Tamandua tetradactyla: one gene and its partners. The protein of the gene in region 3 interacts with the protein of the main gene of each other region in a biochemical or structural test. Links are inferred from orthologs where the notes say so. Each region holds a gene or a part of one and is shown on either strand. Other genes may lie near its edges.

Region 1 (3,743 bases), on a different chromosome or scaffold from region 3:
AGAGTACACCCCAGCCTCTGATGGGCCCTCACGTGCCAAAAGGAAAAGCTGCAAGAAGGCTTCTCTTATACAAGCCTCATTTCTCTTTGTTGAAAAAAGTCAGGTGTTCTTTTCCTGCGGTCTGTATCCAGACGTGGAATTCCTGACTCTGTCCTGCCTCTCCCCACCCCAGCTCCCTAGCCTAAGGCCGATGCCATGGCCACACCACTGCCCGAGGTGTCCTGTCTTTAGACGGCTCCCCGCGAAGCCTCGGGCTCTCTGCAAAGCGCTCACCCTCCCTGGAAGGGATGTGAAGCTGCACTCCCATAAACGGATCCGGGGATAGCAGAAACTGACTCCAAGAACGGGAAAATATCGTCATCTAAGCAACTTTATTGGGTCAGAGGTGGTCCTGTGTCTTATTCACAACCCCGTTGGGAACTCGCTGACCAGGACCTGGAGCGGTTTCCCCGGCAACAATCGTCCACCCCTCAACTGAAGCTACACCCAGGATTTGGGCCGTTAAAACGTTAGGGTCCTTTACCCTAGGGTAGGGTGTCCTCAATCCCCCGCCACAGGTGGGTGAAACCAGAACGGAGCTCACGGGCCCCTCCGCCCAGTACCAGGAACTCGGCCCTGCCCCCGCCCCTCCCGCCGCGACTCCGGCCACTTGGTAACAAACACTTCCACTTCCTGAGTCCTCTTTCTTCGCCCGCCGCGGGGCGCCGCGCCGAGCACTGGCCCCGCCCCCGCAGGATCCGATTGGCCTACGACGTTCACCCGGCCACAGCGCCCCCACCCCGTGGGCCCTGATTGGCCCGCGGCGGCCCACACCCTCGGCGCGGCCCCGCCCCCGGGGTAAGGGGCTGGCGGGATTCTGGAAAGCTCAGACGCCGCGCTCCGCGGGGATTGGTCTGCGCGCCTTTCCTCACGCTTCCCGAAGTCGGCGGCCGCCGCTCCCGGGACACCTGCTCTCTCCGCTCGGCTGCGGGGAGTCCCTGCCGCGCTCCCTCCCGCCTCCCGGCCTCGCCAGGCCGGAGAAGGGCTGGGCCGGCCACCGACGGGACGCGCGTCGCGCCGCTGAGGCGTCGCGGGGCGAGATGAGCGCGGACGCGGCGGCCGGGGCGCCCCTGCCCCGGCTCTGCTGCCTGGAGAAGGGCCCGAACGGCTACGGCTTCCACCTGCACGGCGAGAAGGGTAAGGTGGGCCAGTTCATCCGGCTGGTGGAGCCCAGCTCGCCGGCGGAGAAGGCGGGGCTGCTGGCCGGGGACCGGCTGGTGGCGGTGAACGGAGAGAACGTGGAGACGGAGACCCACCAGCAGGTGGTGAGCCGCATCCGCGCCGCGCTCAACGCCGTGCGCCTGCTGGTGGTCGACCCCGAGACGGACGAGCGGCTGCAGAAGCTGGGCGTCCAGGTCCGGGAGGAGCTGCTACGCGCCCAGGACGGGCCCGGGCAGGCCGAGCCACCCGCCGCCGCCGAGGCGCCGGGGCCTGGCGACGAAAAAGAGGCGCGCGAGGCCGAGAAGAGCCCCCCCGAGCGGGTAAGTGCGGGGCCCAGGCGGGGTGACGGGGACCCGGGCGTCTCGGAGGTGCAGCCCCGCGCCCGCTGCTGTCTTTCTGGAACTCGAGCGGCGAGGAGGGGCGGCTGCTTCCGCCCGCCGACCTGGCGCATCTCCAGTTCCTAGGCAGGCCTGGGGGCAGCGTCCCACGACCCCAGCATCCTTTCCACACTGCCTGGGCCCCTGAGCGCCGTCTGCCCCTCTTCTCGGTTGGTCTTGGGGTTGGCGGGGAGGGGATGGGGGCGGCCCAGGAGAGCCCCGTCCCTTTGCCTCGGCTCTGTTGGCGTTTTCGCCCGTTCCTCGGAACCCTCCAATTAGTTGTGTAATGGCCCTCTCCTCGGCGGTCCCCACCCTGTAATTGGGCCGGCAGGAGGGACCCGCCGCCTAACCTTCCTCCTCGGCCCCTAGGAGGGGGGTAACTGAAGCCGGAGGAACAGCGAGCGTGGCCCCGACTTCAAAAAGCCAGAAGAGTCCCAATTTCCTTTACATGCGGAGGCCCAGCCCCGGAGTGGGAAGAAAGGGGTGTCGGGCGGTTACTCCTGGTCTCTGTCTTTCTCCTCTGCCCGAACCCTCCATGGTTTGCGCCCTTCTTCAGCTCTCCTGGACTTCATCGTCCTCCTGCAGACCTGTCTAAGCAGCTGTGTGGGGGAGGGATGGGAGGAGGAGACGCAGAGGCGTCTGGGGGTGGTGGCGGCTCTGCCACCCAGGAGAATTTATGATTCTCAGGAATGTGAGGAGTAAGCGCTAGCCTGTATCAGGGCTCGGCAAGGAGGACTTTGGAAGAGGAGAAAGAATGCAGGGGGACGGGTTGGCAGTCGGTGTATCATACCTAGGCAGGTGGGCTTCCCCCAGCATCCCCTGTGGCACTCTTGTCCCCTCCCAACAAACTGGTTGCTTGCTGCTTGCCTGCATTTGGTGTTGCCCCAGACGATCCCAGTTTGGATCAGCTGCAGGAGGGGCAGCTGGCAAAACAGGCATTGCTGTTCTGAGCCTCATGTCCCCTAGGGAGGGACACTGGGAGGTCCCCCCGGGTGCAGACAGTGAAGTGCAGGGCCTAGGCTCTGCCGGGGTCCAGTGAGCTTGCACCAGCTCTCCCTGGTGGCAGCGTGTAGGAAGGGTGCCAGTGGTGCCAGTTGGAGCCTCCTTGGGCAGAGGAAGGGCATAATTCGGCTTTGAGGTGGAAGGTGGAGCCCCAGAAGACCAGCTGGTTTAGTGTAAGTGAGGGAAGTGAGGTCACTAGGAGTACTGTCCAGCCGGAGCCGGGTGCTGGGAATGCCAAGGCCGCCAGGCTCCCACTTCCTGCCAGTGCCAAGCTGGCATTGGCAAGGGGTGGGGGAGGAACCAGAGCACCCCTGGCAGGGGGTTAACACCAGGGAGTTAGAACCAATGACCTCTGGTTCCAGGTGGAAAGCTGGTTTGAACTTTGTGCTGAGTGCATCGATTTGCCTTTTTTGTTGTTTGTTTTGAACTTTGGCACCAACACAAATAACGCCCCCCCCACACACACACACACACACACGTTGCGGTTGTGTTCAGCTCCTCCCTTTGCCCTTTTTGTTCTGCTGGGTGCAGTGCCCTAGGGCCTGGGAGGGAGTGCGGAGACTGGAGGCTTGGAAAAGGCAACGCACACCCAGAGAACAGCCCTGCTCTGAGGACTTCTCTGGATGAGAACAGACTGAGACTCCCCAGATGTTGGTTTGCTACTCGGCCTACCTACACTTGTTTGTACTTTGCTAGGTCAGGAGAAGGGAGCAGAACCACTTCCAGAGAGTCCTAGGGAAACCATAACCAGACCTCTCTCAGGTCACAGGTCAACAAGCAAGCCACAGGGCTTCCCTGAGCCCTGGTTTTCCCATCTGTGAAATGTGGGTGTTGTAGGATCTCCCAAATAATTGGGAGGTTCTTGAGCTCCTACTAGGTGCTTAGTTGAGCTCCTTCAGGCCCGGGCGCTCATATCCCAGATTGTGTAGCTGACTCCTTCCACCTTATTTATGGCCAGTCAGGCCTGGCCAGTCCCTCTCCGTATGGTGAGGGGTCAGGCAACCCACCTTGCTGTAAGAACTTTTTTTTATTTTCGCTAAAAGCCATTCCTTTCCTACATAAAACATCAAATCACCTTTTTTTACTTCTTTTTTTATTAATTTTTTTAAAAAATACAAGAAAAACATTCTTAACATATGATCATTACGTTCTACATATGAATCA
Region 2 (3,743 bases), on a different chromosome or scaffold from region 3:
ATCAAGGCGATGCTTTCTTCTCAAAGGCTGCTGCTGGTGACCCTTGGCTCCTCTGTCACCTGGCAGGGCACATCGTGGTGTCCGCTGGGTCCTCCCTTCTTTCCGGGTTTCATTGACTTCAGCTTCTTGCATCTATGTCTCTCTCACTCTCTCCATTCCATTTATAAAGGACTCCAGCAAGAGGTTTAAGACCCATCCTGATGATATTGCGAGCCATTGATTGTATACTTCACACTTTGGATGGATTGTACGGTGAGTGAAGATATCTCAACAAAAATTAAAAAGACAAACACTGGGGAAAAAAGATGCATCCTGAAAGAGGTGGCTCATGCCTGAACTGAAGCAGCCTCATCAGAAGATCCTACTTACAATGGGCTCACACCCACAGGCATGGAGTAAGTATAGGAACATGCTTTTCTGGGGTACAGAAAACCACACGAACACGGGCCATGGGCCTGGCGTGGTTTGAGTCACTGGGACACAGCTGTGAACTAGACAAAGCTTCCTCCCTTATGTTCTCAAGATTCGATGAACTGCAAGACGAAACCAGTGAGAAAATTTTAAGTACATAAGTCGATGACTTCTGGGGGGAAAACTAAAGTCAGAGTGTGAAATGGGAGACCAGGGAAGGCCTTGCTAAGGTGCCATCAGAGCAGGCAGAGGGGAAGGAGGAAGCCAGGTGGATGTGTAAAGGAAGAGTGGCCCAGGCAGAGGGAACAGCCCATGCAAAGGTCCTGAGGCAGAGATGTGCTGGGTGGGATTGAGGCCCAGCATAGAGGCCAGCGTGGCTGGAGCAGAGAGAGGGAAGGGGAGGCGGGGAGGAGCTGAGGTCAGCGGGGATAGGAGCAGGTAGGGGCCAGATGAATACTCTGCTTTAATTTGGCTTGGGAGTTGCTGGAAGGTGTTAAGTAGAGGGGGTGCTGAGATTGGATTGGGATTTGAGTTGCTCCCTCAATACCATGTGGAATTGTTTGGGCTTGGGGTGGGGGTGGGGATCCTCCAGGTGGGAGAGGGGGTGGGGTGAAGCTTTAGGGATGGGGAGAATGGATGAAGCTGGGGCACCATCAAAGCTATCAACCAAGTCTGTTTTATGGAGCTCGGAGGCAGGATAAGACGCCCCAGAGATGGAAGCGCAGGTGGAGGGGGTCTGCCCACCTGGCCCCTCGGCCCCTTCTCTTGGAGCGAAGAGACCAGCTGTCTGGAGGGAAGGGTGATGAGGGGGACCGGGCAGGGGTGAAGGCCAGTTACAAGCAGCATCCTCAAGACCCAGGGGCCCCGGTCTCGGCCATTGTCAAGGAAAGGGCCCTGCAGGAAGCCAAAGCGGGGCTGGCTGCTCAACCCAGCTCCTGGCACCAAGCCAGCACTCAATCCCCATGGGCTCTGTTCATTTTTTAGGGCTCTTTCTAGGGGATCCCTTATTATCACCCCAAAACCTCTTCTCTGATCACCAGGAACGCTGAGATCTCACACTAACCCCTGGAGGCCATGCCTTGAACTCCTTCTTGAAATACCACCTGATCAGCTCAAAGTCATTTGCGTAGAGCTTCCCACTGACTTCCTCTCTGGGGGCACAGCGCCTCGTGCCCAAGGTTCAGCGGGAAGGCGGGGTCCCTTCCCCTCCAACTTCCCTCGCCGCTGGGGTCCTTAGTACTGAGAACAGAGGAAGACGGTTGGGTTTGCGCTTCCTGTGTGTTCATTTAGGGGACCGCAGAGCTACTGGGACCGGCTCTGTCGGGGACTCACCAGCACCCACCGCCTCGCAGGGCCCCCCCGAGCTGTCCCCTGCAGGCCAGGACCCCCAACCCGAGGCCGCAGAGCCTCCCGCTGCCCCTTCCCCAGGCCTGGCCAAGGTGTGGCCCCTGGATTTCTGCAATCTTAACCGCCGTACTTCCGTCCCTTGGGCGGCCCCACCCCTGCCCCCTACGCCACCTTCCTGTGTGCCACGGGCTGGCCACCATGGTGCCCTCGGGGATGCTGCCTGCGGCCCACCAGGTTCTGTTTGTCTTCGCGCTGCTGGCCTGCCTGCTGCCCCCAGGTGAGCTGGGGTGGGTTGGGGCAGGGTTGGTGGGAAATGGGGGAGCAGAGAAAGCCAAGCTCCCCCACATTCACTGGCCTGGCTGCTTCGCACCTTTCTTTGAACTCAGATCTGACAGAGGGCTCCCCGGTGTCCTCGGGAGGAAGTTGTGCATCCTTAACTCAGGCTCCAGGGCATCCCGGGGCCCCGACCCTGCACATAGTTTGCGTTCTCTTGTTCATCTCCCCACCCATCCACCCACGACTCCCCTGTTCTGTTGGGAACCCCAGCCTTTGCCTATGCTATTCCTCTGCCAGAAACGCTCTTCCCTTTCATTTGGTGAACTCCTATTCACCCTTCAAAACACATTGTAGTTGCCCCCTCTTCTCCAAGAAGCTTTTCCTGACTCACACCCCACTTGGGACTGGATCAGGGCCTCCCCTGGAGTCTCCCCACCCCTGATCAATCATCTGTCCTCCCCCATGGAGGGCAGGCGTCCTTCTGGTGGGGCTCCCCTTTAGATCCCAGAATGAGGAGGTGCTGAATGGTGAGGGGGTGGGGTGGGGGAAGTCAGGGGAGCAACCAACCGAGCTTTCCCGGGTCTCACAGGCATCTGGGGACAGGCATTCTCGCTGTGGGTGGAGCCCCAAGAGCCGCTGGTGCCCCCCCGCGGGTCCCTGCTGGTAAACTGCAGCACCAACTGCCCCGGCACCCCCCACATCACCCTGGAGACGTCCTTGGACAAGGAGCTGCAGGGCCGCGGCGCCAGCTGGGTGGCCTTCTGGCTGCACAAGGTGACTGATGACAGTCGGGTCCTGTGTGCCGTGTCTTGCCACGGCTCCCAGATGTCAAGCTCCACCAACATCACCGTGTACCGTGAGTGGAGTGGCCACGGGCAGTGGGGAGGGGGCGGGCCTGGGGAGGTCACGTCGGTGGGACTAGACTGCCAGCCCTGGACAGACAGGGGGGACACATCTCAACCACATGCTAAGGACAGCAGTGCTGACAGCAGTTTGTCTGGGGTCCCGATAAGCATTTTTACAATGGCATCTCAGGTAATTTATTTATTACTTTAATTTTTATGCTAGGTAATTCGTGTGCAAAAAGTATAAAAAAAAAATGGTGCAAACGCAAAATCTACATTTACCTAATGCTGATGACCAGAGGGCTCTCTTCTAAGCGCTTCACCCCTAGTTGCTCACTCAGCCCGTACAGAAGTCCCCAGCAGAGAGGTGCAGGCATGACCCTCGTTTTGCAGGTGGGGAAACTGAGGCTCGGTGGGGAGAAGCCACTAGTCAGGGTTCCCAGCCCATGAGGTGAGAAGCTGAAAGTCTGGTTCCTTTAACATTTTTTTATTGCGAAATATAACATATACAAAAAAAAATACATTTCCAAGAACATCGCAACAATGTGTTGTAGAACAGATTTCAAAGTTTGGTATGGGTTACAATTCCACAATTTTAGGTTTTTATTTCTAGCTGCTCTAAGATACTCGAGACTAAAAGAAAGATCAGTATAGTGATTCAGCAATCATACTCGTTAATTAAACCCTACCTTCTGGGTGGGCCACGGTGGCTCAGAAGGCAGAGTTCTCACCTGCCATGCTAGAGACCCAGGTTTGATTCCTGGTGTCTGCCCACGCAAAAAACAAAACAAAACAAACCAAAAAAAACCCCTACCTTCTCTGTATAACTCCACCATTACCTTTGATCTTTTTCCCACTCCTTAG
Region 3 (3,743 bases):
AATCCTAGGTAGGACGTGCTACTTTCCCCACTTTATATTTACCAAGTTTTAGTTTGATACTTTGTGCAAATCGCGGATTACTCTCAGTGCCAGGCTCAGTTCTAAACATCTTACATGTATCAACTCATTTAATCCTCTAACAACCCTATGATATGGCATACTGTTATATGCCATTTTACAGGTGAAAAGACTATAAAGCACAAAGAGGTTCAATAACTTGCCCATTCTGACAGTGAGTTGCTGGGCAACCGGGAAAGTAGTTCAGGAGAAGATCTGGATGGCAACCTTCAGCCTTCATCCCAATCACCAAGGGCGAGGGTTGGGGAGGGAAGGGTGTTGCTAATACCCAGGCTCCTGGGCCCCACCCCCAAGAGTTTCCCATTGAGTAAATCCGAGAATTTCAGTTTGTTCGTGTTCCTGGGTGGTGCTGATGCCGCTAGTCTGGGGCCCACACTCTTGAGAATCACAGTTCTAGAACTCGCGCCCATAATCACTGTGCAACAAATTCCACTGGTCACCAGATGTGCGTGAGTTTTTGTTTTAAAAAAAGATTCCTTTTGAGAACCATTTGCCAAAAAAAAGGATAAATTCCTAGAATTTCAGAGGAAGCTTCCTACGGCATGAAATAAAGTTTTTTTTTTTTTTTGCTAGTCAAGTCAAACGAGGGCACAAATTGGTCCTTTAGTCACTGCATTCCGCGATCGTTTCCTCTCCTTGTAGCTTAGCGGAAACGGAACCGGAGGCCCGGTGGCCTAATGCGCAGAGACGCCCATGCCCGCCAGGTCCCGCCGCTCGGTTCCTGGGACTGCAACATTCCCTGACCACGAGGACGGCCCCACCCCAAACCCGCACAAGTTCCCAGGGCTGCCCGCCACAACGCACTGATTTAATTCCCTTGACTTCCGTCTGTCACCTTACGTCTGCTATCAGAAGTTAAACCAAATTCTGCCTAGGTTTTCTCCAAGGGCGAGGGAACGGGCCACGGGGAAGGCCGAGGTCTTTAAAACAACAGAAACAGAAAGCAGGGCGGGGGGTGAGGGGCAGGGGATAGCCTGCCCGAGTTTCCTCCGCTCTGGGATGGCCCCGCCGGGGTACAGGGGGCCGCCTGCGAGGCCGGAGGGGTCGGCCGGGCGGGAAGGGACGCCCGCCGCCCGCGGCCATCTTGCGCTCACCGGGGCGCACCTCACTCGTTGGGCGGCCGAGGGGCGGGGCGGAAGGGGGCGCGGCCGGGACATCCCCTCCCAGCCTCGCCCGGGACTGGCGAATGCGGACGGCGGCGGCACACCACGGACGCACAGACAGCGGCGACAGCACAGCAGACCACTTGGCAGACGCCGTGGGTAAGCCGAACGCTTCTGCCCCGGGGTGCGGCGGGGGGCTGCTTAGCGGGGTTGGCGCCGTGCCGTCGGCAGAAGGGAGCCGGAGGTAGGGGGTCGACGACAGCTGTGGCGGGGGCGGCCGGGCCCGACGGGCGGGGGGCAGCCGTCTCGAGTCCGGGGTTGGGGAGCCAGGAGCCAGCCCCTCTCTCCTCCGCCTCGCTCGAGTTCCCTTACCCGGCACCGCTCACGGTCGACCCCAGATCGTGGCAGGTGGTGGCCGCCGGCTGCGGAAACGCCCGCCTTTCTTCCACCCTCTCCCTGCACATCCCCCTTCTCCTCCCCCCGGGAGTGGAAGCGGGGCCCGGGCGGCGCGGACGCCCCTTCCTTCCTGCCGCACTCGGGTCGAGCGGGCCCTTGGCCGCTTCCCGGCAGTTAAAATTTTAAAAAAGTGTTTCTCAAAGATGTGACTGTTGTGGTTTCAGCCCGGGGGCGAACGGTTGCTACACAAAGTGAAACTTACTGTTTGCTGGTTTACTCGTTGCTTCCTTGAAACCCAGAGAAGCACCTCGCTGCCCACCCTTCGGCGAGACCCTCGTCTTCCGGGCCCCTCCCTACCGCTCGCACCTCCTCGCGGGAGCGCTGAGGCCCGCGCCCCCTTCCCCGCCGCCCGCCTCCCGGGGTCGCTAATGCTCCCTTCCCACGTCTGTCTCCCTGCCCGGGCCCACGCCCCGAGGTCGCCTGCGGCCGGCTCCCCCTCCGCCAGCCTTTCGGCCTCGAGCGCTGGGCCCGCCCGGCCCGCAGTAATTGTGGGTTGGGCGGTGACTCACCCGGGCGCCCGCCGGGCGGGTTCTTAAGCCGCGGCGCGCGGGGCGGGCGTGGGGTCTCCGTCCTCGGCGGGAGGATCCCAGCAGCCCTGTGCCTTACAGGACTGTCCTCTTCCTCCAGGTTGGAAGAATCACTTCGGCCTCTCCCGCGGAGCTGAGTTTCTAGAGAATCGACGAAAACACGCCAGGAACCGAAAATGCCGAAACCAGTAAGCAATCCAGTTTCCGACCCGGGCGGGATACTTCAAGCTTTACTTTCAAGCAGGGTCACCTGCATGAAGTGTTGTGGAAAGTAGTTGTAGTACAGGGTTCTTTCTTAAACGAACGAAAGGACGGGAATAGGGAATTGCCTTGCTCTTGGTCATTTAGGTACCTTGTGGAATTCTTCAAGAAAACATCATGGTACTTTTCTTTCTACAGTTTGTGTGTGTGAGACATCCCTCGGTCCCCATAGCTATGGTCCTTTTTAAAACAAATAGAAGCCCCTATTACACTGCTTTATAGTGTGTTCTAAAAGCGTATTCTGTTGCAACTTCTTAAAAAGAAAAGTTGTCTACATGGTAGGAAGACGCTAAGTGGCTTCAAGAGGACATGCACCGACTTGGATTTAAGTGTGGAAACCAAATGTAACCGACTTCTTCCTTTAGCCCAGGAGATGCTGTTTTTCTGGCTGTCAGCTTATGGTTCATTTTACAGCAGGCCTGTGAAACCCGTACTGTTAACCAGGGAATTTGCTGGTAGCAGCAGAATTCCTATCTCTAGAAGAGGTAATGGACTTGAATTGCAGATGAAGGTAGCCAGTGGAGCTTGATAAGGAGGTTCCTTAGACTCTTGCAGGTCATGCATTCCTGGTAAACAATACCTGATTAAAGTTCTCCTGTGCCCTTCACCCCTGTCACCTTGAATCTGATTGTTTAGTACTGGGTTAGATTGCTGGCCAGGCCTGGAGGGTTACAGCCTTTGAGTTGTGGGAATAAATCTGGTTTACTGCAAATGACATTTCTTAGAAACTTGTGTGTATGCTCCTGGCTTTAACACAGGTGAACTGGCGACTAGACATTGGGGAGATGGCTTAAAATTTTAAATTGAATTTTGAATCACAAATGTGGCTGGGTTCCCTCAGAATTGCAATAGGTTGGTTTTATAATCAACAACTGGTTAAATGTCGGTTTTATTCCTTCCCATTAAACTGTAGAGTCTGTAAAAGGAGTTCTTGATTAAGTCTTATTTTACCGTTAAGAGTAAATTAAATTACTATAATGATATGTTAATAGATACAGAAGTAAATATTATTTTTACTTGTTCTATCTTCAAGGTGATTCATTTGGGATCCAGAACATCTTTTTCCTATACAAAATAATTCTTTTCTTTTCAAATTTACAAGTGACACGTGAAATCTGGGCTTTATAATGCCAATGTTGTAAAACTGACTTCTCTAATCAGACATAGCTCAGTTAACACTTTATGCAGAAGAGTAGTCAAGAGGTGCCACTTCCAGTGTGATTTTCTTTATTTCACTAAAAGAAAAGATGCAGAGCTTAGCTTTATTTAAAATGGCACTTAGAAAACAGCAAATCTGTTTCTTATTCCTATTTTTAAA

Evidence for each region.
Region 1: the proteins of EZR (region 3) and NHERF1 form a complex in vitro, tested with the Homo sapiens proteins (2 studies listed by BioGRID and IntAct). The link is inferred for Tamandua tetradactyla from reciprocal best matches to the Homo sapiens genes EZR and NHERF1.
Region 2: the proteins of EZR (region 3) and ICAM3 form a complex in vitro, tested with the Homo sapiens proteins (2 studies listed by BioGRID). The link is inferred for Tamandua tetradactyla from reciprocal best matches to the Homo sapiens genes EZR and ICAM3.

Annotation. Positions count from the first base shown.
Region 1 is NC_135332.1:15,208,892-15,212,634, forward strand, and holds the start of NHERF1 (Na(+)/H(+) exchange regulatory cofactor NHE-RF1), read left to right. Parts: upstream 1-842; 5' UTR 843-1,079; coding exon 1,080-1,520; intron 1,521-3,743. UniProt on the Homo sapiens protein: Scaffold protein that connects plasma membrane proteins with members of the ezrin/moesin/radixin family and thereby helps to link them to the actin cytoskeleton and to regulate their surface expression. Necessary for recycling of internalized ADRB2.
Region 2 is NC_135337.1:91,452,542-91,456,284, forward strand, and holds the start of ICAM3 (intercellular adhesion molecule 3), read left to right. Parts: upstream 1-1,057; 5' UTR 1,058-1,956; coding exon 1,957-2,035; intron 2,036-2,623; coding exon 2,624-2,890; intron 2,891-3,743. UniProt on the Homo sapiens protein: ICAM proteins are ligands for the leukocyte adhesion protein LFA-1 (integrin alpha-L/beta-2). ICAM3 is also a ligand for integrin alpha-D/beta-2. In association with integrin alpha-L/beta-2, contributes to apoptotic neutrophil phagocytosis by macrophages.
Region 3 is NC_135328.1:151,860,093-151,863,835, reverse strand, and holds the start of EZR (ezrin), read left to right. Parts: upstream 1-1,228; 5' UTR 1,229-1,340; exon of another isoform or gene 1,341-1,425; intron 1,426-1,839; exon of another isoform or gene 1,840-2,123; intron 2,124-2,264; 5' UTR 2,265-2,340; coding exon 2,341-2,352; intron 2,353-3,743. UniProt on the Homo sapiens protein: Probably involved in connections of major cytoskeletal structures to the plasma membrane. In epithelial cells, required for the formation of microvilli and membrane ruffles on the apical pole. Along with PLEKHG6, required for normal macropinocytosis.